Linked DNA regions of Schizosaccharomyces pombe. The gene in region 3 interacts genetically with the main gene of each other region. Each region holds a gene or a part of one and is shown on either strand. Other genes may lie near its edges.

Evidence for each region.
Region 1: of mbx1 (region 3) and sep1, changing one enhances a phenotype caused by changing the other (phenotypic enhancement), as found in Schizosaccharomyces pombe (2 studies listed by BioGRID, with this or other methods).
Region 2: of mbx1 (region 3) and plo1, a mutation in one rescues a mutant of the other (synthetic rescue), as found in Schizosaccharomyces pombe (one study listed by BioGRID).

The regions. Positions count from the first base shown.
Region 1 is NC_003423.3:3,132,720-3,137,883, reverse strand, and holds sep1 (DNA-binding forkhead transcription factor Sep1), read left to right. Parts: upstream 1-1,779; 5' UTR 1,780-2,397; coding exon 2,398-4,389; 3' UTR 4,390-4,664; downstream 4,665-5,164. Other genes in the region: dss4 (guanyl-nucleotide exchange factor), read right to left, coding at 1-278; DNA-directed RNA polymerase I complex large subunit Nuc1, read right to left, coding at 4,916-5,164. UniProt on the Schizosaccharomyces pombe protein: Required for promoter sequence element PCB-driven, M-phase-specific transcription. Acts as a transcriptional activator with a role in the regulation of mitosis. Regulates septation and the periodic transcription of cdc15.
Region 2 is NC_003424.3:2,155,837-2,167,464, reverse strand, and holds plo1 (Polo kinase Plo1), read right to left. Parts: upstream 3,235-11,628; 5' UTR 3,226-3,234; coding exon 1,174-3,225; 3' UTR 700-1,173; downstream 1-699. Other genes in the region: putative potassium ion transporter Mdm28, read right to left, coding at 1-163, 220-259; Clr6 histone deacetylase complex subunit Pst2, read right to left, coding at 3,542-6,557, 6,636-6,816, 6,863-6,893; ER zinc importer, CDF family, Zhf1, read right to left, coding at 7,490-8,653; hpt1 (xanthine phosphoribosyltransferase), read left to right, coding at 11,009-11,142, 11,417-11,628.
Region 3 is NC_003423.3:2,353,079-2,364,515, reverse strand, and holds mbx1 (DNA-binding transcription factor, MADS-box Mbx1), read right to left. Parts: upstream 6,018-11,437; 5' UTR 5,088-6,017; coding exon 5,037-5,087; exon of another isoform or gene 4,970-5,036; coding exon 4,823-4,969; exon of another isoform or gene 4,672-4,822; coding exon 4,588-4,671; exon of another isoform or gene 4,516-4,587; coding exon 3,424-4,515; 3' UTR 3,360-3,423; downstream 1-3,359. Other genes in the region: arrestin-related substrate adaptor for RhoGEF, Art1, read left to right, coding at 1-237; PPR repeat-containing protein Ppr3, read left to right, coding at 1,176-1,430, 1,513-3,321; primary septum and spore wall linear 1,3-beta-glucan synthase catalytic subunit Bgs1, read left to right, coding at 8,273-11,437.

The DNA.
Region 1 (5,164 bases), 780 kb from region 3:
AATAAATATTCATTGTTCTTAGAATCATAGTAGCCCAACGGACCTTTTTCACAATCAGCACAAGCAAGTAATTTATAATTATTTGCTAAGGGTTTTGATACGCTAACGTTGTCGAAAGCAAACGGATCTTTTAGAAGAAAAAAATCGTCAGTTTCTAGATCTTCTTGTGTTTCAGAATGCAGCATAGCTGACATTGTTGGCCTCTTAACAACATCTGGACGTTTGTTATTAAATACGACTGAAGGGCAATGTTGACAAACAATTCGCAAATTCGACATAATTTAGGAAAACAATATGGTGGTAGTTAGTTAGTAGTAAGCGCCAATCAGCGTTTTTTGTGGATATAACCTATTAAAAAAATAAAAATACAAGAGAAAACTTTTAAAAGTTTAAATGCTAATTACAAGTTCTTCAAATTTAATTCAATACATGTAGCATTCATTTCCAAAATAGGTACTGACGTGTCTAGTGCAATGAAGATATGGAAAACAATGTTTTGCATTTTGACGATAGAAGCAAATCAATAATTAGACGCTGAAAACTTCTTTTTTTTTGACATGCTATTTGGTTTCATAAATTAACATGGCCTGGTTTTCACTATATTTAAACTTCACCACATAATTAGTAAGTTATTATAAAAGAAAACGCAAAAAATTTTTATTTGCTCGTCTAATGTGTTCTTGAATATTGTCTTTCTCTTAATGTTAAACGAGACATATCAGTTCGCCTGATGCATTGGTTCATATAGTAGTTATTTTCAAATTTAGAAATTCGGACACATAATTCTTCTATCCTTCTATGTTAAATACAGAACCTTTTTCTTTCTACTCAATTTGCTTTCCGTGTTGCAACCTTGACACATACTAAAACTTTGTACACAGTGGTTTTTGAACTTTCTTCTAGTAACTAAAATTTTAGAAGTACGGCATTGAAAGAAATATTGTAATCAAACTTTGAATGTGTGCAGACTGCAAAATTGGGAAATTAGCTTGGCACTTGCAATTTTCAATGTAAATGTGTAGGAATCGTGTGCCATCCCTTCAATTGTCTAATATTTTAATTGAAATCTATAGAACTACGCTATTTTTGCTCGAATTATTGCTACTATGATTACTTTGTCTAAATCCTTAATAAAAAGAAGTATTCTTGATTAGCTCCGTGAACTTCTCGATTCAGTTATGTGACAAAGAATATTATTAGCTTCCAAATATTGAAATATTATTATTTTATTAACTAAATGAGTTTCTAAGCCAAGTCAATTTATCAATCATCGTTATTGTTATTGTTGAAATAATACAAAAAATATAACGCATGCTATTGATTCTTAACCAAATGTATTAATCACCTAAAATTTGTCAACCACTAACTGATATGATTAGACTAAGCTCAACTTCAACTTATACTCTCTTTATAGCAATATTTAAGTTGCATGAACATCCGACGTTATTAAATATTTTAGTATGAAGATAATATTATAGCTATTCACTAAAAAAATATTTCATAACTGAAACTAGTGCCTCATTTCATTTAAATTTCTAATTATAGGACCTCAAAAAATAAAACAACGTTTTACTGTATGGTTAATACTATGGAACCAGAAATGTGTCAAATTAAGGGCATACTTAATGAAGGAGGATAATTGGCAGCTTAACGTATCATAACGTATACCCTTATTACTGTTAGTAAAATACTCACAACCCAACATCGTAATCGATTTTTCGGCTCTATGACATATTGTCACTAAAATAGAGGATCCGCTTTCACGAGGTGGAGATTTCTATCTCATCTCGTACACTCATATTTTGGCAAACGTCCAAAATTGGAGCAATTCGGAGCATTTGATACGAAAGGATATTTGACACGATTGTGTATCACTATTACAAATCTTAATATTTTTATGCAATATTAGTATCTCGTTGTGCATTTCTCTCGTTTCTGACAGCATCCAGTATTGAGTTTGTATCTTTTGCTTCCTATACTGTAATACCTATTTCTATAATTATTTCTGTCTTAGACTTAAGACTTTATTTTTGGTTGTAAAGGATTGTGAATTTAGAGCACCACACTTTCTTTCTTTCTTTTTTTTGTGCTTCGGAATCGTGCCTTGTCGTAACACTAGTGCGAGAATCCAAGGTCGGACAATTTTTTTTTTGTCCTTTGAGTACTATTATTATTAATTCTTTTCAAATCTTTGAATTTTGCAAAATACTTCATTCTTTTTGGTCCGCATACTGACAATCTATGTTTGTGTAAGTCCGGAGTATAGTAGTATTCACTATTACTATTATTTTCCCTTAATTGGTTTTCTCTTTTAATCATTATTATTATTGGCATTGCCATTATCTAACGGTGCTTTAATTTTTGTTTTATTATTCAATTTGTCTGAACATCTTCCTCATGAATTTTAATTCTACTAACCCTTATTATTTTACTCATGAAAAAAACCTTAACAATGCTTCTAAGTACTCTGAACTCCCAATTGCTTATCAGGAAATTCCTTTGCAATCTTTACCACCTTATCCCAAGGTTGCTTCAAAGTTGAAGGGCGTAGTTGCAGGCGGAAAAGAAAATAACATTGCATCTTTTCAAAAACCTTCTTCAAAAGCCACTCGACCATATATACCTTCTTATACTAGATTGACTTATTCTGTTCCTCCTCTTCCCATACCTCCTCCTTCGGAGCAATCTTTGGATACTATTATATATCGAAACCCTTCTGTATCTTCTTCTCAGTCTCAAGAACCGGAGGAGTTTTTCTTACCCCTAGATGATGGAAAGAAACCTCCTTATTCCTATGCTATGTTAATTGGAATGTCAATAATCCGTTCTCCCGATCGTCGTCTCACTTTAAGTGCTATATATGATTGGATCAGCAATACTTTTTCTTTCTATAATAAGTCCAATAACGGTTGGCAAAATTCCATCCGCCATAATTTAAGTCTAAATAAGGCATTCATGAAAATTGAACGTCCTAGAAATTTACCGGGGAAGGGTCATTTTTGGAGCATTCGTCCTGGTCATGAAGAACAATTTCTAAAACTAAAGCTGCGTAAACCAGGAGTAAATTCAAGACCAGCGCCTCCTGTTCAAGACGTTACCTCCTCTACAAAATATGGATCTTCTACCGGTTCCTCTGGATTTAACACGTTTAATACTTCTCCCCATATATTTAATCAGCGACATCAATATCTTCAGAATTATTATACTGCATCCTTAACGAACATTCCGACGATCTCTAATGTTAATGCCACAAATTTTCATCCTCTTCATAGTCAACAACCCTATGTAGATACCCCTGGTATCGATGCACCTTCTGATTTGGAAGCTAAGTTTTCCGATTTGGGTGTTTCCTCTGTCGTATCTGTAACTTCTCCTTTACAATCATGTACAAATTCTCCATCTCCTCCTTTGTCATCACCAGCATCCAGTGCTTCTCCATCTGAATCACTTAGGAATGAATCTTTGGGAATAAAGTCAGCTAAATCATTGGGTTTGAATAAAGATGATGCACCAGTAGAAGGTCCACCTGTATCACATTTGGAGAAGGATGTTGAAACCCCTTCAGTTCATGATTCCGTGTTGGGTTTTAATGACACTGTAACGAATCTCGGCAAGAAAGGTTTAAAAGATGGTACAACTAATACCCTACAGATCCCTGCAGTCCGTTTACCTTCTTTACCTAGCTCGCCTACCATAAAAAATCCCAGTGGACTTTTGCTAAAGCGATCAAATTCTATTGATTTTCCAACCCCCCCGAAGGCCTTGTGTCCTAAATTGTTTTGCTTTCGTGATGACATCGTGGCTGATGACTACACTAAGTTTTCTTTACTTTCACCCATCCGTTCTGATATGAGTGGTATCTCAGCAAGTCCGAATACAAATTTGAAGGAGCATCGAACTCGTATCTTGCAAATGCTGGCTACACCTGATGCAAAGCAATTATCATCTTTAACATCATCTGATGCAGAGTTTTGGTCAGTCACGCCTTTGAAGTCTTCAATTCTACGTAATGGAGATGCATCTAAACAAGTAACGCTATCTGAAAGTCCTAAAGGTGATAGCTTACTTGATGGAGGATCATTATCTTATTTTACCAATAACATTAGTTCCGTTGCCGGCTTAGAAACACCAAGCAAGCTACCCATGAGCAAGTCGTTTGATACCTTTGAAGATGATTTTTTGGATCCCATGGATATGTTGAGTTTTGAAAATCACTTTTCCGACTTTAATAGCAATCGAAAAGTGTCTCCTGTTAAACGTGAGGTGCGTAGAAAATATATTTCTTCAGCAACTACTATTCATTCTTCAGCCGCGCAAGATGATACTTACTTGCCTTCTCCTACCAAGAGGAAAATGCCACTTCTTCGTCAAACTTCAACACTATTCTAAATTTGTTTTAGCACTTATCTACTTTTTATCCATGCTTTATTTAATGTGATATTTCTTCGTTCTAGTTAAAGACTGCTATGGGAATTCCTAATTTTACACATATCTTTTACCTTGGTTGCTTAATAAACTTTCAAACCCCCGATGTTACTTGTTCATTTGCGTGCGCAATTTTTTTAAATTTACGAAAGCTTTTAATTTATATCCGGCGAATTGTTCTCCCAGTTGCATATCTAATAGTCACATTAGCAATATAAAGCTTTATGAATATTTCGTAAACATAGTATACGCTTATAGCGTTTAGAAGTTTATCTCTTGTGTTATGTAAGAGTTGTAGATTAAACGTAATTTTATTTGTGGTAACCTATCTAAAACTTATATGACAAGTATTAGTTCCAAAACCCAATTTATTTATTTTATATATTTTTGTAACAAGTAGCCAATAAAGGTTTAATTTCCAAAATCTTTTATTTTGTCAAAACACACATTTTTCTAAAATTATTCCCCAACCGCAATAAATATACCTTTTTTAGTTTGCAGGAGAATCGACTACAGGGGTGAATATGTCAAAAGAACCGGTGCCAAAGTTACCGACTCGACCAACGACTAACCGAGATGAAGGATTGGATAAGTCATCAACATCACCACGGAGGGCGGCCTCAGTCAAAAAGTGACAAGTGGTCTCAAAAGACATTTTCGCAAATGGAGAAGTGTTATATTCTATTCCCATTCTATTGAAGGCTTTGTATCCTCCCTCGAAAGTCATATAATCTGCAAT
Region 2 (11,628 bases), on a different chromosome or scaffold from region 3:
CCGATATTATAGAATACTATATCTGATGGACTATATTTATTAAATTTGACAGGAGAGAGTCTTTTATCAATCAAAAAATTTCCTCGCAGACCTGAATAGCTTCTAATAGGTTGGTTCCTGATTGTAATTCCCGTCGCCGGAGCGCCTAACCTCCATTGAAAGCCTACAAAACGTTAGTACAAATTGAAGAGCAATTTGAAAAAGCATTAATATCCTTACCAGTCTGATGTGGGGTTTTAAACAAACGATTCCGAAGCATACTGGGGAATTGGATATGCGTTCTTGGATACTTCATCAATTTGACTCGGCTTGTTTATGAAATAGTAAAGAGATTTAACGCATGCTACGCAAAGCTTCATATTCGTTAAACTAATTAGTGTATTGTCCGTTAGGTAATTTCCTCAATCGCTATTAACATAGCATAGCGTAGGTAGAGAAAGCATTTTATTTACTAATTATGTATTGCTGGAATTAGTTTATAAGTACTTTAAAAGCAAACAGTTCTTTTATCGCATCAGCCTATTTATTATAAAAATGTTCCTGCTATTTGGATTCAACGTGACAGTTGCTAGTAAAAACCAGTACTATTGCTCTTTTGATATACTTAGTGAAGTATAAATTAATGCCTTGTAAACAATAAATAATGCTACTATTAATTAATTTAATTTGGTGTTACAAAGTCTGTGATTCTTAATATGCAGCAGATTGAACTCAACTGTACACATTTTACTGACATAATTAGCAAAACATGTATCTAATCTGTGAAAAGGATTTCAGTTACAGCGAGAGAATAAAAATCAATTAACATAGCTGTGACTAGTCTAACATTTTGGATAACACTTGGAACATTGAGATTTGTGAATCCTTTTGATTAGATAAATAAGTGTCGCCTTAAGACAGAATTTGCAGCGATCAATTTAAAAGCAAAAAATAAAAAATTTTGAAAAGGGATTAAGCTGATATTTGCAGCTATAATTTAAGTTTATAACTTATTCGTCAAGAGCTCCTGCGTTTAAAAGATGTATCTGAGGGAAAGAAATAATAAAAAAAGAATTAGTAAAACATTAACATAAAACTGAATTGAATGGATGAATAGTACAAAAATGAGGATGTGAAATATGGAAAAATAGACAGCATAGTAACTTAACGCCCAAGTATAGATTAACGGTATTATTAACTCACTTCCATTTTCGACGCCCACGATTCCAACGTCTCGCGAATATACTTTAAGCGAGATCTCAAGTCTTCTGAAAATGCGGATGCTTCTTGCAAAGGCAATTCCACTCTCTCTCGCTCTTTATCTAATACAATGATCTTCCGTGCGGTAGAGGAAATAACAACTTTTCGATGATCCAGGAAATTGAACTGAAAAATTCCGTTACTTAATCTAAACATTATAGCTTGACGCGTACGAAGATAATGCTGCATGAAAAGCATGGTATTGGAAGTTGAGTTTTTGGGTTTTTCAAAACTCTCATCCTGCACAGCCTTCGAAAGATTTTGTCCCATATAGCTTTTAAAGTGCTTTAAAAGCTGAAGTTTACTTCTTATAGATTCAGGAACTTTGGAAGCAGGATAAATATATGGCTTAATTTCTGTATCTTTAGGATGTAAAGCATACTCGACAACCTCCTCATCAGCTGAAAAAAGCAAGGATGTATCATCATTAAAGTGTACGCCAACCGATTCATCGGATAGCTGGTATCCTAAACCATATTTGTTGGAATAATCAACCCACTTTGTAATAAAAAGAACGGGCTCAGAGTCAGCATCCTCTGAAGTTAAAGCGTGTGTATGTGCTTCCAATGCCATCCCGATTTTAAGAGCTGTCTTCTTTACGCTGATCCAAATGTCTGATTTCATATTTCCAACCTTAGAAAGTCTTGAAACTGTATTTGCAGATAAAGACCGAATTAATTGAATAGGTTCAACTTGTTCAGTGACAGCGCTCTTAGTTGGAACAAATGATTGTGATTCTTCTCTCAAAACTTTAACTCTTGAGCCTAAACTTCCATCAGTGGATTTACGAGCTGCATGGAGGGCTGTAGAGAGCTTTGATGGTACAGGTTTGGTTTCCGGTCCTATTTTCATAACAGGGTTGACACGGTCCCTTGGACTTAAAACACTTGGTAATATTCGATCATTATCAACTTCATCTGTTCGAAGTGCATAAGGTTTATTCTTTTCTACACCTGCTGAATTTCCAAAGCCTACTCCGGAAGCAGAGGCAACGAAGTCCAGGTTTCTCTGAAAGCTTGATTTTGATTGGGAAGAAGGCCATATAGGCATTGAATGTAAAATTTCATCTGGAAGTGTAGAAGCCATATAGCCAGTGTGAAAGAATTCATGGTCAACAATATCGTCAATACTGGGACGAATGCTTGGATCATGTGTCAGAAGAGAAGAAATTAAATCTTTTGCTTCTGCAGATATGTCGACATTTGAAGGAAAACTATATGAGTTGGCTTTTATCTTCCTATAAATTGTCTTTACCTCTTTATCCTGGAAGGGTGGCTTTCCAATCAAGAGGGCATACATGACTACTCCAGCACTCCAAAGATCAACTTCAAATGAATGTCCTTCTTTTGAATTGAACAAAATTTCAGGTGCGATGTAGTTCGGTGTACCACAGATAGTCATTTTACGTTCTTCGTCATCCATTAAAAGCGCGGCAAGCCCAAAATCACCAATTTTTACATTGTTACTCTCATCAAGCATAATATTTCCAAGCTTTAAATCTCTATGAATGACTCTCTTTTTATGCATATATTTCAAAGCTCCCAAAATTTGCATCATTAAATACCGAACCTCTGGCTCAGTTAATTGTTTTCGCTTACGTAAAAGTTCCATTAAAGATTTATGTTCACAAAGCTCCAAAATTAAGTAAATATTCGTCGAATCTTCAAAACAATCTATAAATCCTACGATGTTTGGATGACTCATGGATTGGTGCACCTTTATTTCTCCAAAGAGCTTCAGCTTTGTTTTATCATTTTGTAGTGACCTTTTAGCAATAACTTTAGCAGCGTAAATATTTCCATAATTATCTTTGACTCGAAAACATCTCGCAAAGCCGCCTTCACCAATGCAATCGTAGCGAGTGTAGAATATATTTTTTTTATTATTATGAAGATTAGTTGGCGGAGTAAAGCAAAGACGAGAGGCTTTGGACTTCTTCTTCGGGGTTATAGCAGTTTTGGGCTCTTTAATTGCAACACTCGCCATTTGGTATTTGTTTCTAACAAAACGCAGGTGGTAACTTTTGAGGGTAAACAAAGTGGTTGCTACGACAACCGCTTGTTTGTAAATAAAAATCTGTGCATTGTAATATTTTATGTAGTAATTACAGAAGTACGGCTTTAGAAAATTTAATACAAAGCTTATGTGCAAAAATTTCAGTAAATTCGTACTATACATAAATCCTTGAAATTATAAAATACCTAGAAAGATAAGTTATGTTAACAAAGTAATATAAAACTATTAAAGTCAAATTGTATTTAAGTAAATATGATCAATAGGTAGGTCGACTGCATTAAAATCATTATGGGATAAATAGTGCATTAATGTCAGCATCAAAATTCACCTCTGCCGTGTTGTCAGAAGTTCCCCTAACCGATTTTAATAACGATTCCCATCGATTTCTCCAACGCTGTTTTCTTTTATTCTGGCAATCAAGGAAGTCGGTATCTCTAAGGCGCAGGTAAGATGCATCTATGTAAGAATCTTCTGTGCGTGGTAAGTAGAGCAATTTAAACGAGTCTAAACATAATTTTGCTTGCAATCCGGAAACCAATTCTGCAGATCTTAATAACTTTGTTTGAAGGCGTGAAACCAATTGCTCAACTGTTCTTTCTTTCTCTATATTTCTGCAAAGAAAGGGACAACGATAATTTTTATAAGATATTTCTTCAGTAAGTTTTTGTATACGATAATTTTGAACATATTTTTTCCAAACTCGTCTCTGTGTATCCAAACTTTGATCCACAATAAGATTCGCTCGCTTCATTATTTTGATTCCAAATGATTTAAATTTGTTTATCCAACAAAATCGAAACAAAATTTCATCAGGATTCAAAAGCTTTTCAATTTCCAAGCGATAAAGAAAGTCATCATAATTCTTCTTAGGCGAAGCAGAACTATTTTGTTCGACTAAACTAGTAACGAATTTGTATTTTCCATCGGAAACGATGTGGTGGACTTGTTTAGCAGCAGACCAAACGAGTTTATCAATAGTATATATTTTATAGGCTTTATTGCCATAATAAAACCGCAGATAGTCCTCGAAGGCACTTTGATCAACTATCCCATATATTAATCGAAGAATCATCACATAAGTATTTTCGTAATGAGTTTTTTCATCAGGGACATCTGAAAGATCATTCCACCTATCGCGCCAAATCTTTTGTTTTTGAGATACTGGGTTTGGTATTATACGCTGTTGGATAATGGACACTTGATCCTCCAAACGCTGAAGCTCATAAAGCCTTTCGTATAATAAGTTAAAAAGTCTAAAAAATACGTACATAGAAGAATATCCAAACTGTTCTTTATCGACGTCGTCATGCATTTCATTCTCCGTATCACCAGCATGATCTTGATGTTCCAAAAGACTATCTGGATGACTTGGATATTTGAGACTGGCTTTAATGGCTGCAGCAGGTTGTGAAAGCTGTTTCTTAGAAACCGGCGTTACGTTTCCAGATTCATCACTTAAAGAGTTTTGAGAGTTAGATTGTGATTTGTTACCGGATTCTTCTTTTTTGCGAGCAGCTGCAGCTGAACGACTTTCGCGTTGACCATTGATTTTAGGTTGTTTTACAAATTCCGTCAACTGGGTTATAGAATTAGATCTTTTCCGACGTACAGGCTTGTTACCAACTATATTCGGGGCATTCACATCGTAATCAGGACCACGAAAAACTTGATCCAGGAATATCGAAAATTTATCCTTTTCAAGACCAAAATGTAAAGGCAATATATTCTTGAAAAAATGCTCAACTTTCTTTAAACCAGAGGGAGAGTTACATACAATGTATGTGCATACCATATAACAAGTATCAAAAAGTACTATTTCGTTGTCATATACAAAAGAAAATTCGAAAGCTGATCTACTTCGCAAAGGAAAATGGAGCTTCGCTTGCGATCGTAGAATGTCGGCTTCTGCTAAGAGAAACTTTGAAGATACATTCTTCTTATCTCTTGCCTTAAAATAAACGCATTGTGAATCTAAGCTCTTATCGTAATTTTTAAACTCAATACTTCGCCATCCAGGTTGAAGACTTCTTTTAACAGACTTCCACTCTTCGTTTTTTTCTTCTAATCTGCTGATTACCAATGGTAATGTGAGGCAAGGCATTCTTTCCAAGGCCTTAAACATTTCCTCTGCATGCTCACTGGTATAAACAAGCTTAATAGTTTTCTTGTATATACTTTTTGATGGTAAACCTAGCCCTTCCTCGAGAGTATATGTTTCTCTTTCCTCTTCCGGCAATTCATTTATACGGTTCTGAATTTTTTTAAGAGACTTGATTGTCCAGGAAGTAGCTTCAATATGCCGATCAAATTCATAACGTTCCTCTTCCAACTTTGTCATTGCCTCTTCATAAGGCGTTTTCCTCTGAACAATGAAACCGCTTTCTTCAGATGCCCAAGTTGGATGACTGACCCAGTCATCATTAAGTATACCCCATGCAAAATCATCTCTACCGCTGCAAGAAATATTGCGTTCTTCGACAGGAAGCAATCGGTAACTCGGGCCACATTCCGGGAAGTCTGAGCAAGCGGAATTGTATACAGATAAAAACTCTTCCGGACTCAAACTAGTAAGGCTTAAAAAGCTTCTCCAAAGTCCCGAATTCGATTTAAGAAACCCAAACCCACGACTCACCAGAATATTTCTATCAATTATCCCTTGAACGTACAAATTCAGGAGTTTTAAAAATTCGTGGTAAGTTTCTACATCGGTAAGTACATTTTTCACATTTTTGAAAAAGTCACTGCTCTCATTTGATAAATGTGAAAATGGTGAGAGGTTGTCCGGCCTTGATTGACTAAGCAAATCAGAAATATTACTCAACGTAAATTGGGAACTCTGAATTCCTCTTAATGGAAACGATCCTAGAGGAGGTTTACTCCCAAAAAAGATGGAGCTTGGTAAAAAGTTGTGAAACTCGTGGGCTAAAGATGGATGCTCCGCTAGCAAAGACGTTACAATAGTCTGAAGCTCAGAAAGCGAACACTCAGAGTTTTTAAACTTACGAAGACTATCCTGTAATTTAAAGAACTGTTCGGGATTGCTCAATAATGCTCGTCGAACTCGTGAAACAAATCCTATAGCTCTATGATAGGTACAAGGTAAGTCGTTGTAAGTAGCTACATAAGTAGACGGTGTAGAAACTGGACCAGATGGGGTGGTAAATTGCAATGTGAAGTTGGCACCGCTATTCGATAAAAGGTATTTATAAGACGAGGGCAAAAAGATGTTCAAATATTCTAAAAGATCTGGGTAATCTCTTAAGATTACAGATATTCTTTCAATAAACCCGGGAAAATCGACACTAATGTTCATGTTAATAAGTGAATAGTAATAAAAAAAGAGCTATCTCAAAGCAACTCAGTAAATAAGCCATATATACATTTCATTGTGTAAAGCCTTCACAACATCCATGAAAGCGCTATAAACATAAGGACGATGACACAGTCTTTGACCCAACTTTTGAACGAATGCCTTTATATCAAGCTCGGGGAGTGCGGTACCATTAGGGGAAAAATCATGGACTAATTGATTCTGCATCTCGGCCACTAACGTTGAGTTGTCTAACAACATTGGTTAAAATGAGTTATGTATTAAATTGATACGTACCATTTTTTAATATCGCTAGTGTTTGTTCCATGTATTTTGATCTTTAACCATCAAATGACTAGGAATACGATCTCGTTTATTTTGGAGGTGATGATTTGGGAAACGGCAAATGCAACTAAGCGCACAAACTCGTCAACGCATTACATGAACTGACGCTGATAGCCAAAGTTCAAATGATTTATCAAGACATGAACACAAATACCACATTGGATGGTGTTTTACACTTACAACGAATACTTTAGAAAAAATACTAACGAGAAGAATCAAACCCAATATAATTGTTAAAAAATATTCCTTTTAAATAATTAAACACTACATCTAAACATTATTTTCTAAGAATAATAGAGATTTAATAAAACCGAAACTATGCATCGTCTTCATCAAGAATAAGAAATCGAAAACTATCTACTTTCAAAGTTAAGTTGTCGACTACTTTACTTAAGTGCATTCGCAAAACAAACAACCAAGATGGTGAAATAAAGTTTTTAAATACGAACAGGAATGGCAGAAGAAATTACGCTTTAAAAATGAAACAAAGTAAACATTCAATATAAAATTTTACCTCAAGAATAAATCAAAAGATGTGACACAATAGATTAACCACGTTAAATTTATAATGTTCGCAAACTAAGACGAGGAACCTTGGTCACATAAAAGCGGATGATTGGCGAATTCTGGTTGAATGGTAACATCATATATACCAAAAGATTGAAGGACATTACGGATATCCGTAGTAAGCTTTGTATAAGACTCTCCCTTATCATCAGGAAGTGTAACGCAGACATGAACAGTGGCAATTAATTTAACGTCCGAAAGCTGCCAGATGTGGAGTTCATGAACAGATTCCACGCCGTCTAGATGATTAATTAGGTTGGAAACATCATCCAGTTTGATGCTTTGAGGAGCAACTTGTAATAAGATGAGAGCAGCGGATTTACAGAGAGGAATTGCGCTAAAAAGAATAATGAAAGTAAGAAGGATACTAATGCATGGGTCAAAGAGGAAACGCCAAGAATAGTCAGTATACTTGATGAATAAAGCAGCACTAATAACACCAATATTACCGAGAGCATCACCCAAGACATGAAGAAAGACACCATGCATATTCAAATTTCGTTTCTTCGTTTGTTTTGGTGCATCTTGTTCAATACTGCCATGGTTGTTGACTGGCTTTGAAGTACCAGCACCATTATGATTACCAGTGTAACTCAATAAAGGAGAAGATTCGGTAGCAGAGTCTGCGACTTGAGTGTGTGTATGGCTGACTTCTTGTTGACTGGTATTACAACGATGAACGATAGTCGAAGGTAAAACGGATTCAATATCATCTTCTTCAGGAAAATCGTAATTTTGAGCGGTATGGGTGTGAGGATGATCATGACCATGGTCATGAAATAAAAAGATACCAACGAAATTGCTTAGCAGACCTAAAGAACCAACAAAGAACATAAGGGTGGGATTGCTGACAGAAGGAGGCTCAATGAAGCGCTCTATGGCTTCCATAAAAATGAACATGCAAAGGGCAATGAGAAATACACCGTTCGACAAAGCACCTAAAATCTCTGCACGTTGCCAGCCATATGTGTATTTTGGTTCGTGAGATGTTGAATGTGCTAGACGAGTAGCCCAGAGAGCGACCAGTAAACTGACAATGTCATTTAACATATGAAATGAATCAGCAATTAGGGCAAGTGAATCGATCGCATAACCAGTAATAATTTCGATGAAGAAAAAAGTAACATCAATACCTAATAAAAGGATAATCCGAGTTTGTCTTGCGAGGTCGAACATAGTTTGAAAACGAAAAGTCACCAATTTCAAAAAAATGGTAAGGGTTGAATTTCACAGGGAGAAAAAGGAATAAGGTAAATTTAGAATGAAAGGTGGCTTTTTAAAAATGAATTTAAATAAAAGAGGCGCAAACTTGCTATATTTAACAAAAAAAAAAGCCAAAATAAGACGAAGATGCGAGAGGGTTTAAGAAAATCTAAAGAATCAAATATCTGTAATTTTGCTTTCCTTGTTTTTACAGAATAAATTAATTAAACCAATAAACCTTCAAAAAACTGCCAAAACTGCCGTTTTTGATAGTAAATTAAAAAGGAGGCTTTTGAGAAGTAAGCGGTGAAGAAAAAATAAAATCACACGTTGACTACTATTAGTCTGCTTTAACAAAGTTTTGTAAGTGACTGGCCACTAATCGCGTTTACCACAAAAGGAACTAACAAAGACTACCTTTTGAAATTTTCTTTCAATTCGGTGTTAAGAATAAACGCACAAATTAGTCAAAATAGTTAGAAGATCAAATTTTGCGATCGAAAATATTTATCTGATAATAATTGATATCGTAAAAGTGACTATTATTATTCGTAATCAGATACAACGAATTACAGAGTATCGCAGTAATAAACGAGTTAATTATAAGCAATATGCACACATATTTGGATCGTCCTTTCTATGATTTTTTGGGTAATGAGTGAGCGACAAGATCGTACTTGGTAATTTGATTGATATTTCGTCGAATAGGTTCTACCGCTTTACCAAAAGTAATTAGTTAATAAAGCTAATACTTGGTATCAATTTTTGGGTAAACTTCTATAGGTAAAAAAAAAATGATTTACGTTGATTAAATGTGCCACGTTCCACTTTTAAAAGCCGAAAACGTTTGAAATTGCATATTTATATTATTTTTAATAGCTCAATATTCCATTCATACGCTTGCTTTATGCAACGCCAATCATTGTTTATTGAAAGATACCATCATTTCTTGTAGCTCACAGAAACTTGGCCGAACGGCTGTTTAGAAGTAAATAAATAAGGAATTGAAAATGATCCTAGATGTTTCAACTATTTTTAGCTATTACTGGGTTTGCTTAATAATTTGATTAAACGCCATAAAATATATTAAAAAGGTCTTTCTATTTGTTGTTTATAGCAGTGGTTTGTTCTCAAAACTTACAATGTTTTATGATCTTCGTTCATAAACGAGCATTCTCTCTCCCCAGATTTCGCTAGTAATAAGCTAAATATATCAAGTAATTTTAATATTATGAGTGAATGCATACAAAAAAGAAATGCTTCGAAAATAAAACTCTTTCTAAAAGGAAAATCTAGTGATGTTGAAGAGCTTTTCATAATTATACTGTCAACATAGCAGCATTGTTAATGTTTTGAATGAAAGCCTGATGTCAGAGGGTTTTCTTTTAAAAAAATTTTTATATATATATATATATATATACATGATTATTAATAAAACAAAAAGAATAAGAACATTCTCAATCATCCTGTTCATTATATTTCCTTCTTTTCATTCTCAAATGACAAATAAATAGTTCATTTATCAATAACTCATGGTCTCCACCATATCTAAAAATCACCAGTTAGTGTAAGATTGAAGTAAGCATGTGTCTCGATATTTACTACGTATGCTGCGTTATCTACTTTTTGGCTGGTTACAAGTGATTAGATATTTACAAATTCGCTGCACTATCTACTTGTACAATCCCCCTTGTACCGTTTTTTAGGTAATGCGTCTAATCCTTCCCAGAACTACGAGGCTTCGGATGAGACACCTATGTGATGACTGACTGCATCGGTTCTTCAAACGGCACTGAATAATCCAAAACCTTTCTTGTTACGAGTACATTTGAGTAATGTACCGCAGTTAATTGCCCAGGCAAAAATTGAGCTATATTAATTTTGCTATAATTATACAAAAAGTAAACAGTAAAATTGAAACCTAAAGCATTATATACATATAATAAATCTTATCAGACATGCTAGCTGATATACCTTTTAATATATTTTTAACAACGAAATGATGGGTTTTGAAAAGTATTAAACATCTAGAAAATCAATATAAAGAACATTTACATATGTAATGGCCTTCATAGATAACTGAAATCGTTTTAAACATCATATTCTTTGCTAGACACCGTCTGGTCGGTGTTAGAATATCCCTAACTAACCACCATAGAGGGTAGGGTTAGTGACTTTTTCCTATCAGTAATTTAACGAGATTACCTTAAGGAACGCTTAAATTGTCAAAAGTACATAAATATCAAAAGAACGTATTTCCCCCGTTCACGTTTACACCTTTATCGTTCCCTTCATTTTTTGGTTGTTTCATTTTGTTCTTAAGTTATTATGGATCCCGTTCGTCTTTATTACAGCTACAATGACATTCATAAGATGTGTGCTCAACAGGCAGAAAAAATTTTGGAAACCTTTCGTCCTGATGTGATTATAGCCATTGGAGGTGGTGGATTCATTCCGGCTAGGTAAGTTGAACAAATAAAGAAGATAACAGGAAGAAGCGCTTCCTATAACGGCCTACTGCGTTAAAATTTGAATGGCAGCATCTTTGTGATTTCACAAATGATTGATTTTAACAATGCTTATCCACGATAAGGATTTTAAGGCTTTTATGTATGATCTTTTCAAAAGGACGCATCGTTTACCTGCATTTTCAATTGAGCCCAAGAATCCATCGTGGTGCATTCAAATTCCTTGCTCTTCTTATCTTCATATGGTTAACATTTGCTAATATAACAGAATCCTTCGTACTTTCCTTAAGAAAAAAGGAAGCAAAAATATTCCCATTCAAGCCATTGGTCTCAGCCTGTATGAAGAGCTTGTTTCTGATTCCCCTGAAGAAGTTCCTGGGCTTGAAGTTAAGCGAACTCAATGGCTTGATTTTAGTACTCTTGGAATGGTTGATCTCGTTGGCAAGAACATTCTAATTGTTGACGAGGTAGATGATACTC
Region 3 (11,437 bases):
AAAGTACAATTATATCGTGCTAGAAACATTGAAATAACAAACCCAATTATTGTTTCCCCAGTGGAACGATCACGAAGTCAAGCCTTACTTAATGAAATTCAAACCCGAGTCCTTGACGTTCGCCAAAGCCACGGAGGCGTTGTCCTCGAAGAAAACGTTAGGATTGTGCGAGCTTCAGATTTTTCCAAAAATAATATGTTTGCTTATTTGAATGATGACATTGTCCTGTTATCTTAGGAAGTTACATTTTTCAAGCTCAATCTGTGCTTTACTACAAATGTAAATCCCGATATTGTTGATCATAAGCCTTACCTCTGTATTTCCCTGTGTTTTTCGATATTTGCAAGCCTTTGGTTTGCAATTAAATACCCACTTTGTTTATTTATTTGTCCCTCGTTTTTTTGTTTGGTTTCAAAAGCTATGAGTAAAAATAATGGTCTTCTTGTTTTTGTTTTGTTTTAAAAAGTATTCCTGTTCTTCGACATCAAATCAATTTCTATTGAATATGTCTTCATTGTTTTATTTATTCACTAGATTTAGCAAGTGGGACTTTTGGTCACTATTTGGTTGCTTTTTTGTACAACTGACTATTTATTTTAAATTGTGTCAACAGTTTAAATCTCACTTTATTCAGAGTAGGTTTTAGTTTAATAAAAACAGCTTTAAACCTGCTTATATAATGTACTACTTTCCTTTTTTATGTGGTTTGAATATCACATCGGCTGCACTTATGTCGGCGTTTCCACTTTCATGTATGTGGCTTTGAAAGTAAAGATGTAGTAAGCATTTAAATCTGAGTAAGGCTTAATATATATAACGATTGCATTTTGTTATCTAATAGCCCAGTATACGGTTACACTCTTAAATCAGTTACAATTTTATTAGATATTAAGCTCATTGTGAGTAAAATTTTTCCACACCTCTTCCTTAAGTTTGTATAATCCATTCTTATAGTAGTATAACCAGAAGTAAAAGTTTAAAATATTAGCAATTAAATTTCTTTTGAGGAATGAAAATACGAGATCATTATCAAAGCGTTTAATACCCACTTAACTTTCCATCCACAAAATATACGTTTCAATCCAGGTATTAATATCTATATATTATTGACTACTTTATCAGGAAAAAAGATCAAACATCTTTAATTTTTGAGATTTCAGAAGCTACTGTACCTTATGCTAAACAAATGTTCTGGCTCTTTAACACTTTTAGCTGTTAGAAGATTTTGTGGTCCTTGCCGACGTTTACATTATCATAAAGATAACCCTAATAACATTAATATTGCTAAAAATCTCCTGAACAATAATATACAAGCTAGATGCTCAACAAATGAGGCATCTTGGAAGTTGGCACAGAAAGAATTAGATCTGAAAATACGTGAATACGAACAAAAGTTAAAGGATGTTAAGCTAAATGACATAAACAAAAAGGTAAAATATTTATTAAATAAAGGGTTTGAGTACAAAATAACACTGCTAAAAGATACTGTCTTGTTTACTAACGTTAGCATAGTCTCCCCTTAACATTCCTGATGAAGTTTGGACTAAATTTATATCAGAAGTTAACTCTTATGATAAGGAAAAAGAAAATCATTTATCTACAGGTAACCACGAATTGAGGAGAACAACTCCATTGAAAATTGGACCACTTCTACTTACGAGAATCGGGCTATTGAAATCTAAGAACACAGCCAGCAATAATTATTCAGTCGATCATATTGTTTCAAATCTAGCTAATGACAATACGTTGTTAAATCGTCAGGTTTCTACCGAAGAATGGAACAGTCATCTTCGCCATCTCTTAAACATTCCTAAATGCTTTTTAGGGGTTGATATTGTAGAAATAGTCAACTTTTTTAACTATCTTCCTCAAACTGTTATTTCAAAAAGTTCCCTAGAAATTTGGAAAGCTGTTGAAGAAAGTGGTATGAAAGTTATGCCTGATTTGCTTGTCTTGCTTATGGAATCCACCAACGCATCTGGCGATTTCCGTAAGACTGTCCAATTGTATCATTTGTATCAAAAATCAAATGCTCCTCCGAATGGTTTGGTGTATCAATCATATGCTATTGCACTTTCTTCCCTTGGTAAACACAAGGATTTAGTTGCACTCTATTCAGAACAAAAATCAGTCTCAATCACCCCATCAAAGGATTTCTTAAATGCCTGTATCAAGGCATTTTCTCGAACCAAAGAATTTACAAAGGCGTGGGAAGTTTTCAATTTTATGAAATTTACAGCAACTAGCATCTCTCCGTCGGCTGAAACATACGGTCTTATGATTCAAATATGTTCTTCTCAGTATAATCCAGAAAAGGCACTTGACTTATACAATGAGATGAAATTAAGACCAATTGATCCATTAACCCCTACAACGTTCGTTATTAATAATTTAATTCATGCTTTAGCTACCGATGTTCGTTTTCAAACAGTCGCTTTTTCATTGCTTCAGGATCTTTCGCATTATGGTTTACGTCCAAATCATTCTACACTTTATGAGTTAATACGTTTAATTGCTTATAGTGGTAAACTTGACTATATGAAAGACATCTTGGATAATTTCTGGGTGAGGCAAAAATTACTGCCCTCGATACTCAAAGTTGAACAAATTTTTCATTTCATTTTTCGGGCTTTAATTTCAGCTGAAGTTCAAACTTCTTCTGTAACCCCTGATTACACTCACTTTAAAGAGGAGGTCAGGAAAATTATAGATAGTTCCAAAGAGCCACTTATACCTTTCCTTAAAAGATCAACTTTAACTGAGAATGACTTGTTCCTCAATGCTATTTATACTTTTGAATACGCGAAAAGGAAATTTCCTGAAGCTCTGAACTCTCGCTTAGTAACTGATTTTTTAAACATTTTTCTTGAGCGTGGAAGCGTGCAATTATTCAAGGAAATTTATCAATTAGAATTTCGAGAAATGTCGACAATGGAAGGTTCCTCAATGAAAGTTGCTAAGATTACATTGACTTATATATATGCTATAAAGTTAGCATTATTGTTTAACGATTTTGAATTTGGGTATGCTGCTTGGCAAGAATATTGGCATTGTAAAATACACAAATTGCTACCAAAAGAGGACGCATCATACGAACAAAAGGTTGTTTTACTTACTCTTTCTTTACTTTCAAAAAATAAGCACACATCTTTGGCTCGAAGTCTTCTCTTATCGCACCTTGATAAAGGCTGGACATGGAATAAGCATTCATTGGGTTTTATGAGAAAAATGTGTTCTGTTATGAACGATCAAGCCACTGTTTACTTGATTGATTCTATTACTAACGAAATTGGAATAAATCAAAGATTTACTCGAAAATAAAACATTATTCATAAATTTAATATTAATACTCATTTCAGTATCAACGGTAAAAAAAAATGTTATTATTATTATTTACAAAGATTGAAGAAATCTAAGGACATATTAAGGGGCATTTCGTTCAATATTTAAAGACGGATATAAATTATGATCAACCATGTTATTTCGATATACCGAATTTGTGGGGACGCCGTCTTTCAGTTGATCAGCAGGAATAGTGGATGAGGGTATTGATGACCTCTCATAATCTAAATCTAAATCAATTTGCGTTGTACCAATTAAAGCATCCCAAGTTGCATCAACTGGATTGTCGGTAAAAGAGTCTTGATTAACCATATTCGATTCGCGAAGAATTTGGTTAGGAGATGCTGTAAATGAGCGACTTAGTATGTTCAACTCATGAGTATCAATAAATCCGTTGGGCAATTCATCAAATTTTGGATGTTCATATACCATAGAAGTAGGATTATCGTGAGAATATAATTCTCCACGGTTTTCTTGACCCAAATTATCGGGAAGAAAAGGAGGCGTAATTTGATTTATAGCAGAGTCCAAAGGTGTTATAGGTGTTGAGCTGGGATCCAAATAACCAGAAGAAGGACTTTGAATAAAATCAGTTAGCCCGTCAATAGAAGCATGAGAAGTATGCAGCCTGGATATTCGCGGTTTTCCATTACGACGATTTTTAAAAGATTGGCTGCGACGAACAGAGCTACGATCAGCTCGGGAAGATGATTGTCCATATGCTTGACGCTTAGGAGTAAGGAAAGGGATAAAATTATCGGTTTGCGGAACATCATTATGTTGAAAAGACAGTGTAGGATTCAACGATTCAGGAGGAACAGAAAAAGACGATGAAGAAGACGGTTCTAAAGGTGAGTCAGAGTAATCTCCAGAAACTGGAGAGACAAAAGAATGTTTGACTGTTGGAGAAAGAGGAAGGTCATTATAAACCGACGCATGGTCCGGTATGGTAATCGACTCTATTTTCTTGTTCTCGCTTGCAGTAGTTGGAGTAGTATGGTACGTGGTAGAGGATTTGATCGTGAAAGATTGAAAGTCATTTTCACTGTCGGTAGCAGAAGAGCAATTATTAGAAGGTTGAGCACTGTATGTGGTAACAGAAGCAATCCGCTTATCTTTAGGTCTCCAATTATGAAGGGATTCATCAGATGGTATATTAGGATTTATGTTTCTCTTTCTCCCCAAGGGATTATGTTAGTAAACAGAATACAGGACAAGCATAATGATTGCTGATAAGTGACTTACCAGAGGGTCAACCGTGACAAAGTCCTTGTTCAGGAATTTTTGCAGCAAGGCATCTCTTTGCTCTTCCGGTTCCTCAGAAGAATACTAAAGAGGTGTATGTTAATATTAAAAACTTGTAAAAACATTGCCACGTTTTCTGGTTGTTGACCTTCATCACCTTCCCTATAATGTATTCACTTTACATTGAAAGGATATGACAGAAAAGGATCAGAAAAACGGGAAATATGAAACATACAACGTGACAAGCATTTTTAGAATCAAAAATCATGACCACCACTTTAGCATCACACAAAACGGAGAGTTCATGTGCTTTTTTTATCAAGCCAAGTCGTCGACGATTAAAAGTAAGAGCCTTATTTTTTGCATCGGAAATACGCTGTATCTAAATGGTACGTTAGCGAGGAGAAAAGGGGTGTATGAATGGAACCAAACCACTATGTAGCACATACAGAACGGCGAGGAGATGAAGGAGCAGTACTAGGAGGAGGATTAATATCCATAGTTAGAGTCCAAATATTTAGGTAATAATATAAATAAGAAGTAGAAAAAGAGCGACAATTAAGAACCAAAATAGTAAAAAAACAACAAAAAAAGGATTAAAAATTAAACCAATTGACTAAATCAACCGAGGAAATTCAGTGAAGTCTAGAAATAAAAATTAGGAGAAAAGGGAGAAGGAAAAAAGGGCGCAAAGAAAGTGAGAGTTTCGACTATTCTTATATTCTTGTTTCGTGATTATTGACAGTGTAATAAAAATCAAAATTAAGGGAAGGCAAAGACGCATGCAAGGAAGTGCAAAACTTAAAGGTTGAAATACAAAATATGATTATCCGCTAGATTCACTTGAATGTATCAGCTTGACTTGAAATGCAGCAAAACAGTAATGGGTACCAAAATGGGATATAATCTAAAGGGATAAGAATACAAGGAAAATGTCGTTAACGTTTTGGGTAGACGAATGAAAAAACCTTTTAATGTAGAAAAAAGAGATAACTTTGGAAGAATTTTAAAAAAGCAGGCAAATATTAGGATATCATTCAATCGGCTCCTATGACTTGAAGTCTAACCCAATACTAAATGTGCAAAAAAAAATAAGGAAGCCGATCACCAAAATAAATGGAAACCAAATAAAAAAAAGCCAAGGATGAAATTCAAAATATTCAATTTGAGACTTTCAAAATGTAAACAAAGCGACAATAACGGCAATGTAAAGTTTGCGGAGACAAAAAATTTCACCTTTGAATATAAATAGAAACACTGAATAGGCAGTACGGAAAAAAATTTTTCTTAAATCAACCCCAGACTTGAACCAAAATATAAAAAATGTGAAATTTGGATGAAAAAGAAGCGTATACAGCGTATCAGGAACGTATAGTTTGTAGGAAAAAACGCTGGATTTATCCTTTTCAAAATCTCGTGGTAAATGTACTGAGCCTTTCTATAAAGCCCACCCAAGCCCTGTAAGGTACCGGACGAAAAAAGTCTCGCTACAGGGGGTTAAGATGATAAGAAAGGCTAGGGTGCTAGATTATTTATCTAATAAGGTAGTGTAAAGAAGTAAAACAAACTAGAGAAGTAGAAAATATAGGAATTAATGAAATGGAGAAAATGAAAAGAGCAGAAGGTGCGACAATAGAAATAGTTGTAGTCAAATGATTGTAAGAAGTTGTTTAAGTGTGACAACTAAATAGTCATCAAAGATTTAAAAGAATATCGCTGTAATAGTCGATTGATAGATAAAAATATTTACAGGATGTGTTTGTTTTTGGGGTATTCGTAAGGGAAATTGCCCAATCCAAGTCTTAACCAGAATATGGAATGGAAACCTTTTCCAATGCCGGCACATTGTTTCTTCCTTTGGATTAACCAATTGCTTTTAAATTCGTACTCGGTTGTCTTTTCATCTTCTTTAGATCCTAACCAGATTTGTTAGCATTCAAATCCGTACTTTTCCCACGCATTCAATACCCAGACATTGTGCGTCTATGATTTTCCCAATTTTCGGGATTTGCGAAAAAAGCCCAATGCCTAGTTCTCTTCATAAGCTCTATACTGTAATAATCATACCTTTGCTAATTGGGATTCGGTACCTTCTAGCTTTGTATTATTTTTACTATTGTTTACCACCCATGTAGACAATCACATATTAGAAATTAGTTTAACAATTCCAAAAAAAAAGAACACTCGTCGCTTATGTTCACTGTAACTGAATTATGGTTTCAGCTACACTTTCTTGACTTTTTGTAGTTTGTTTACTTCTTTTCCAATTCAAATATAGCGTCCTTAGTTTGGTTAAAAGTATCCATCTAAAACGGTAGCTGGGTATAACGATTGATAAGATGCTACACAGTAGCTGCTTATAAATTCTTTCTTTGTTTGACCGGCTATGGCTTTGCTTTGTATGGGGATGGTTTTTTAAGCCTCCTTGTGCCTCGTTGGTGAGTAACCTGAGCCTCCTACCACGCCAGCCTCTAAATTGCTTACACTAAAATAGGCCTCAATAATGTGCACTACCCTTCCCCATTTCGCTGTTAGTTTTGAAAGAACCGGAATGAGTACAACTTGCAGACAACAAACTAGGAACTGGTGGGTTTTGGCTATTTTCACCGTTCTCTTAGTGGAATTACTCTAAAATTTTTGAAAATATATTGATTAATTAGAGTAAATTATCCTTTTTAACGTCAAATTTTTGATTCTGTTGCACGGAATTAATTTTTTCTTCCTTCTTATATATCTATCATTGGTTCCTTCTTTTCTTTTTCCTCTCTTTTTTCCTATTAGCCTCCATACAAAAAGGTTGACTCCATCTTAACATTTGCCAAGTTTTCTTGTGTGATATTATCTTTACGTTAGTTGCTCCATCACTGCTAAGTTTTCGGTGTGTGCAAGATCACCTTTTGTCGTAGCATTGTGTTTGTGTGGACGTTTGGCGTTTGTCCCGGGTTCCTCTTACCCTTTCGCTTCTCTTTTCCTTCCATTTTCCCATCTCCATTTACTTTTTTTTCGCTTTGAGAGATTGTAAATAAGCTTCTGCATACGACAATTTAATTGTTCAATCTAAAGTTTATGTGGAAAGCGATTTTATATTTTCTCCTTTTCTTTTAAAAAAACGTCCTTCCTTGAATCGCTTTTTTAAAAATTTGGTCAGTTTCCTAGGTGTGCATTTGTAAGTACTTCTTTTGGTGCTTGCTGTTTTATGGTATTATTATTGTTGTTTTTATAATTATTTCTTCTTTTTTTTCGCCTCTTTTTTTATAATTTGCATACTGTATTTTTAGGTTCCGTTCATTCCCTTTTGAACCTCCGATATCTTAACTACTCTTTCACTTCGTGATCCCACCCTTTTTCCTACTTTTAGAGCTTTTTCCGCCGTCTTCTCTCATCCGGCATACATATATCACCCTTTTTTCTTCTTTTTAGGATTTGAAAAAGTCTTTTACTTTTTTCATTTCAATCAGCACAAATTTTTTTCTCTTCTACTCTTTTGCCCCCATTTTCCAAGGCTTAACTTCTTTCTTTTTAATCTTTTTTTCAAGGTCTCTTAAATTTATTTCTTTCTTTTGAACATCGTTCCTCATTTGCTAGCATTCTTTCTCACAAATTCCAACTTTTCTTTCTTTCAATTCTTCTTAATTTAAGCATTAAAATTTGTCCTCTCTCCTTCTTTTGAGTCTATTTATTCATCATGGATCAGTATTGGCGTGAACAAGAGGGTCGTGGACTCTTTGAAGATGATGCCAATAGTTATGTCTCTGACGATGATACTATGAGCTCTCTGACCCGTATGATTTACGATAAAAACTCTTCTCGTGATGCATTACATTCTGATTATGATAGCTCTTCATTTAATGTCGATTCCAGTTCAGTTGCTTATCCGGCTTGGAATCAAGCTGGTGAAGAGGCTCCTGTTACTATGGAAGGTGTTCAAGAGATCTTGTTGGACCTTACAAATAAACTTGGTTTTCAAAAAGATAACATGCGTAACATTTTTGATTATGTTATGGTTCTTTTAGATTCTCGGGCATCTCGTATGTCTCCTTCCTCGGCACTGCTTACTATCCATGCCGATGTCATTGGTGGTGAACATGCAAATTTTTCAAAGTGGTACTTTGCTTCTCATTTTAATGACGGTCATGCCATTGGATTTCACGATATGTCTTCCCCAATTGTCGAAACAATGACTTTGAAAGAAGCTGAACAGGCATGGAGAGATCAAATGGCAGCATTTTCACCCCATCGCATGATGGTGCAGGTGTGCCTTTATTTTCTTTGCTGGGGTGAAGCTAACAATGTTCGTTTTGTTCCCGAGTGTCTTTGTTTTATATTTGAATGTGCTTATGATTATTATATCTCTTCGGAAGCTAAAGATGTCGATGCTGCTTTGCCCAAGGAATTTTATTTAGACTCGGTTATCACCCCTATTTATCGATTTATTCATGCACAGCTGTTTGAAATTTTGGACGGCAAATACGTCAGACGAGAAAGAGATCATTCTCAAATCATTGGCTATGATGATATTAATCAATTGTTTTGGTCCTACAAGGGCCTTCAGGAAATCATGTGTGCTGATAAAACTCCGTTGTTAGATTTACCACCGTTTATGCGATATCGACATCTTTCCGATGTTGAATGGAAATCATGTTTTTATAAGTCCTATTACGAGTATCGTTCTTGGTTCCATAACGTTACCAATTTCTCACGTATTTGGGTAATGCATATATCTGCTTACTGGTATTATTCGGCTTATAATTCCCCAAATTTGTACACCAAAAATTATCACATCCGCTTGAATAATAAACCTCCTGCTTCTTGTCGTTGGACAGCTTGTGGTTTAGCTGGTGCTATAGCTTCTTTTATCACCTTGGCAGCTGTGGTTTTCGAATATATACATGTTCCTCGTCGTTATCATTCTGCCAGAAGGTTGTGGCCGAGTATGCTGTTATTGATAAGTACGCTACTTCTAAACATCGCACCTGTTGTTTTCATATTTGCTTCGTCTACGAAAGAGCAGCATTATGCTTCTCGATTGGTTGTAGGAATTGTGCATTTCTTTTTCTCGTTGGTCTGTGTAGTTTACTATTCGATTACGCCGTTACGAAATTTGGTTGGTTTCACCACAAAAAGGTCTGGAAAAAACCTTGCTAACAGATTTTTCACCGCCAATTTCACTCCGACCTCAAAAACAGGTGCTTTCGTTTCTTGGTGTCTTTGGATTACAGTTTTGGTGGCCAAATTCTTGGAATCTTATTTCTTTTTAACTTTGAATTTGGCAGATTCTATCAGATTTTTGGGTGCTATGCGACCTTATGACTGCCGTGATTACATTTTAGGAGCTGGACTATGCAAGGCTCAGCCTAAAATTCTCTTGAGTTTACTGTATTTAACTGATCTTTCTCTGTTTTTCCTTGATACTTATCTATGGTACATTCTTATCAGCACTATCTATTCTTTGGCTTATGCTTTTTGCCTGGGTATCAGTGTGTGGACTCCTTGGAGAGAATTGTTTTACCGCGTTCCCAGAAGAATATATACAAAACTGTTGTATACCGATGACATGGAGATTGTCTTCAAGCCAAAAGTACTTATTTCTCAAGTTTGGAATGCCATTATTATCTCGATGTACAGGGAGCATTTGATTTCCCGTACCCAAATTCAGGAGTTGTTGTACCATCAAGTACCTTCTGAAAAGGCAGGCTATCATACTCTTAGAGCTCCCAACTTTTTCTACTCCCAACAGGTTAAGCATTATAAGCAAGATTTGTTTCCGGCTAATTCAGAAGCTGCTCGAAGAATCTCCTTTTTCGCACAATCCTTGGCTGAATCAATACCCAAGACTAGTTCCATTGATGCCATGCCTACCTTCACTGTTTTGGTTCCTCACTATTCTGAGAAAATTTTGTTATCTTTAAGAGAGATTATTCGCGAGGAAGATCAACTTTCTCGCGTAACTCTATTAGAGTACTTGAAGCAGCTATATCCTGTGGAGTGGAGAAATTTTGTTGATGATACAAAATTACTTGCTGATGAAAATGATTCTGTTATTGGCAGTATCGACAATGAAAAAAATGGAGTAAATAAAGCATATGACCTTCCTTTCTATTGTGTTGGATTTAAATCTGCGACTCCGGAGTATACTTTGAGAACAAGAATTTGGGCCTCTCTGAGAACTCAAACTTTGTATCGCACTATCAACGGTTTCAGTAACTATAGTCGTGCCATCAAACTGTTATACAGAACGGAAACACCAGAATTGGTCGAATGGACAAATGGTGACCCTGTGCGATTAGATGAAGAATTGGATTTAATGGCAAACAGGAAGTTCCGATTCTGTGTCTCCATGCAGCGGTATGCTAAGTTTACCAAAGAAGAAGCCGAAAATGCAGAATTTTTATTAAGAGCGTATCCAGACTTGCAAATTGCATATATGGATGAAGATCCTCAATCTCGACATAATGACGAGCGCCATCTTTATTCTGTACTGATTGACGGTCATTGCCCCATTATGGAAAATGGAAAGCGTCGACCCAAATATCGTATTCGTCTATCTGGTAACCCAATTTTGGGTGACGGTAAATCTGATAATCAAAATATGTCTATTCCTTACATTAGAGGTGAATATGTACAAATGATCGATGCCAACCAGGATAATTATTTGGAAGAATGTCTAAAGATTCGTAGCATTCTTGCTGAATTTGAGCAACTTACTCCTCCCTTACATAGCCCTTACTCGGTAAATGCCAAAGCTGCTGACAATCATCCCGTAGCTATTCTCGGTGCTAGAGAATACATTTTTTCAGAAAATACAGGTATGCTTGGAGATGTAGCTGCTGGAAAGGAACAAACATTTGGT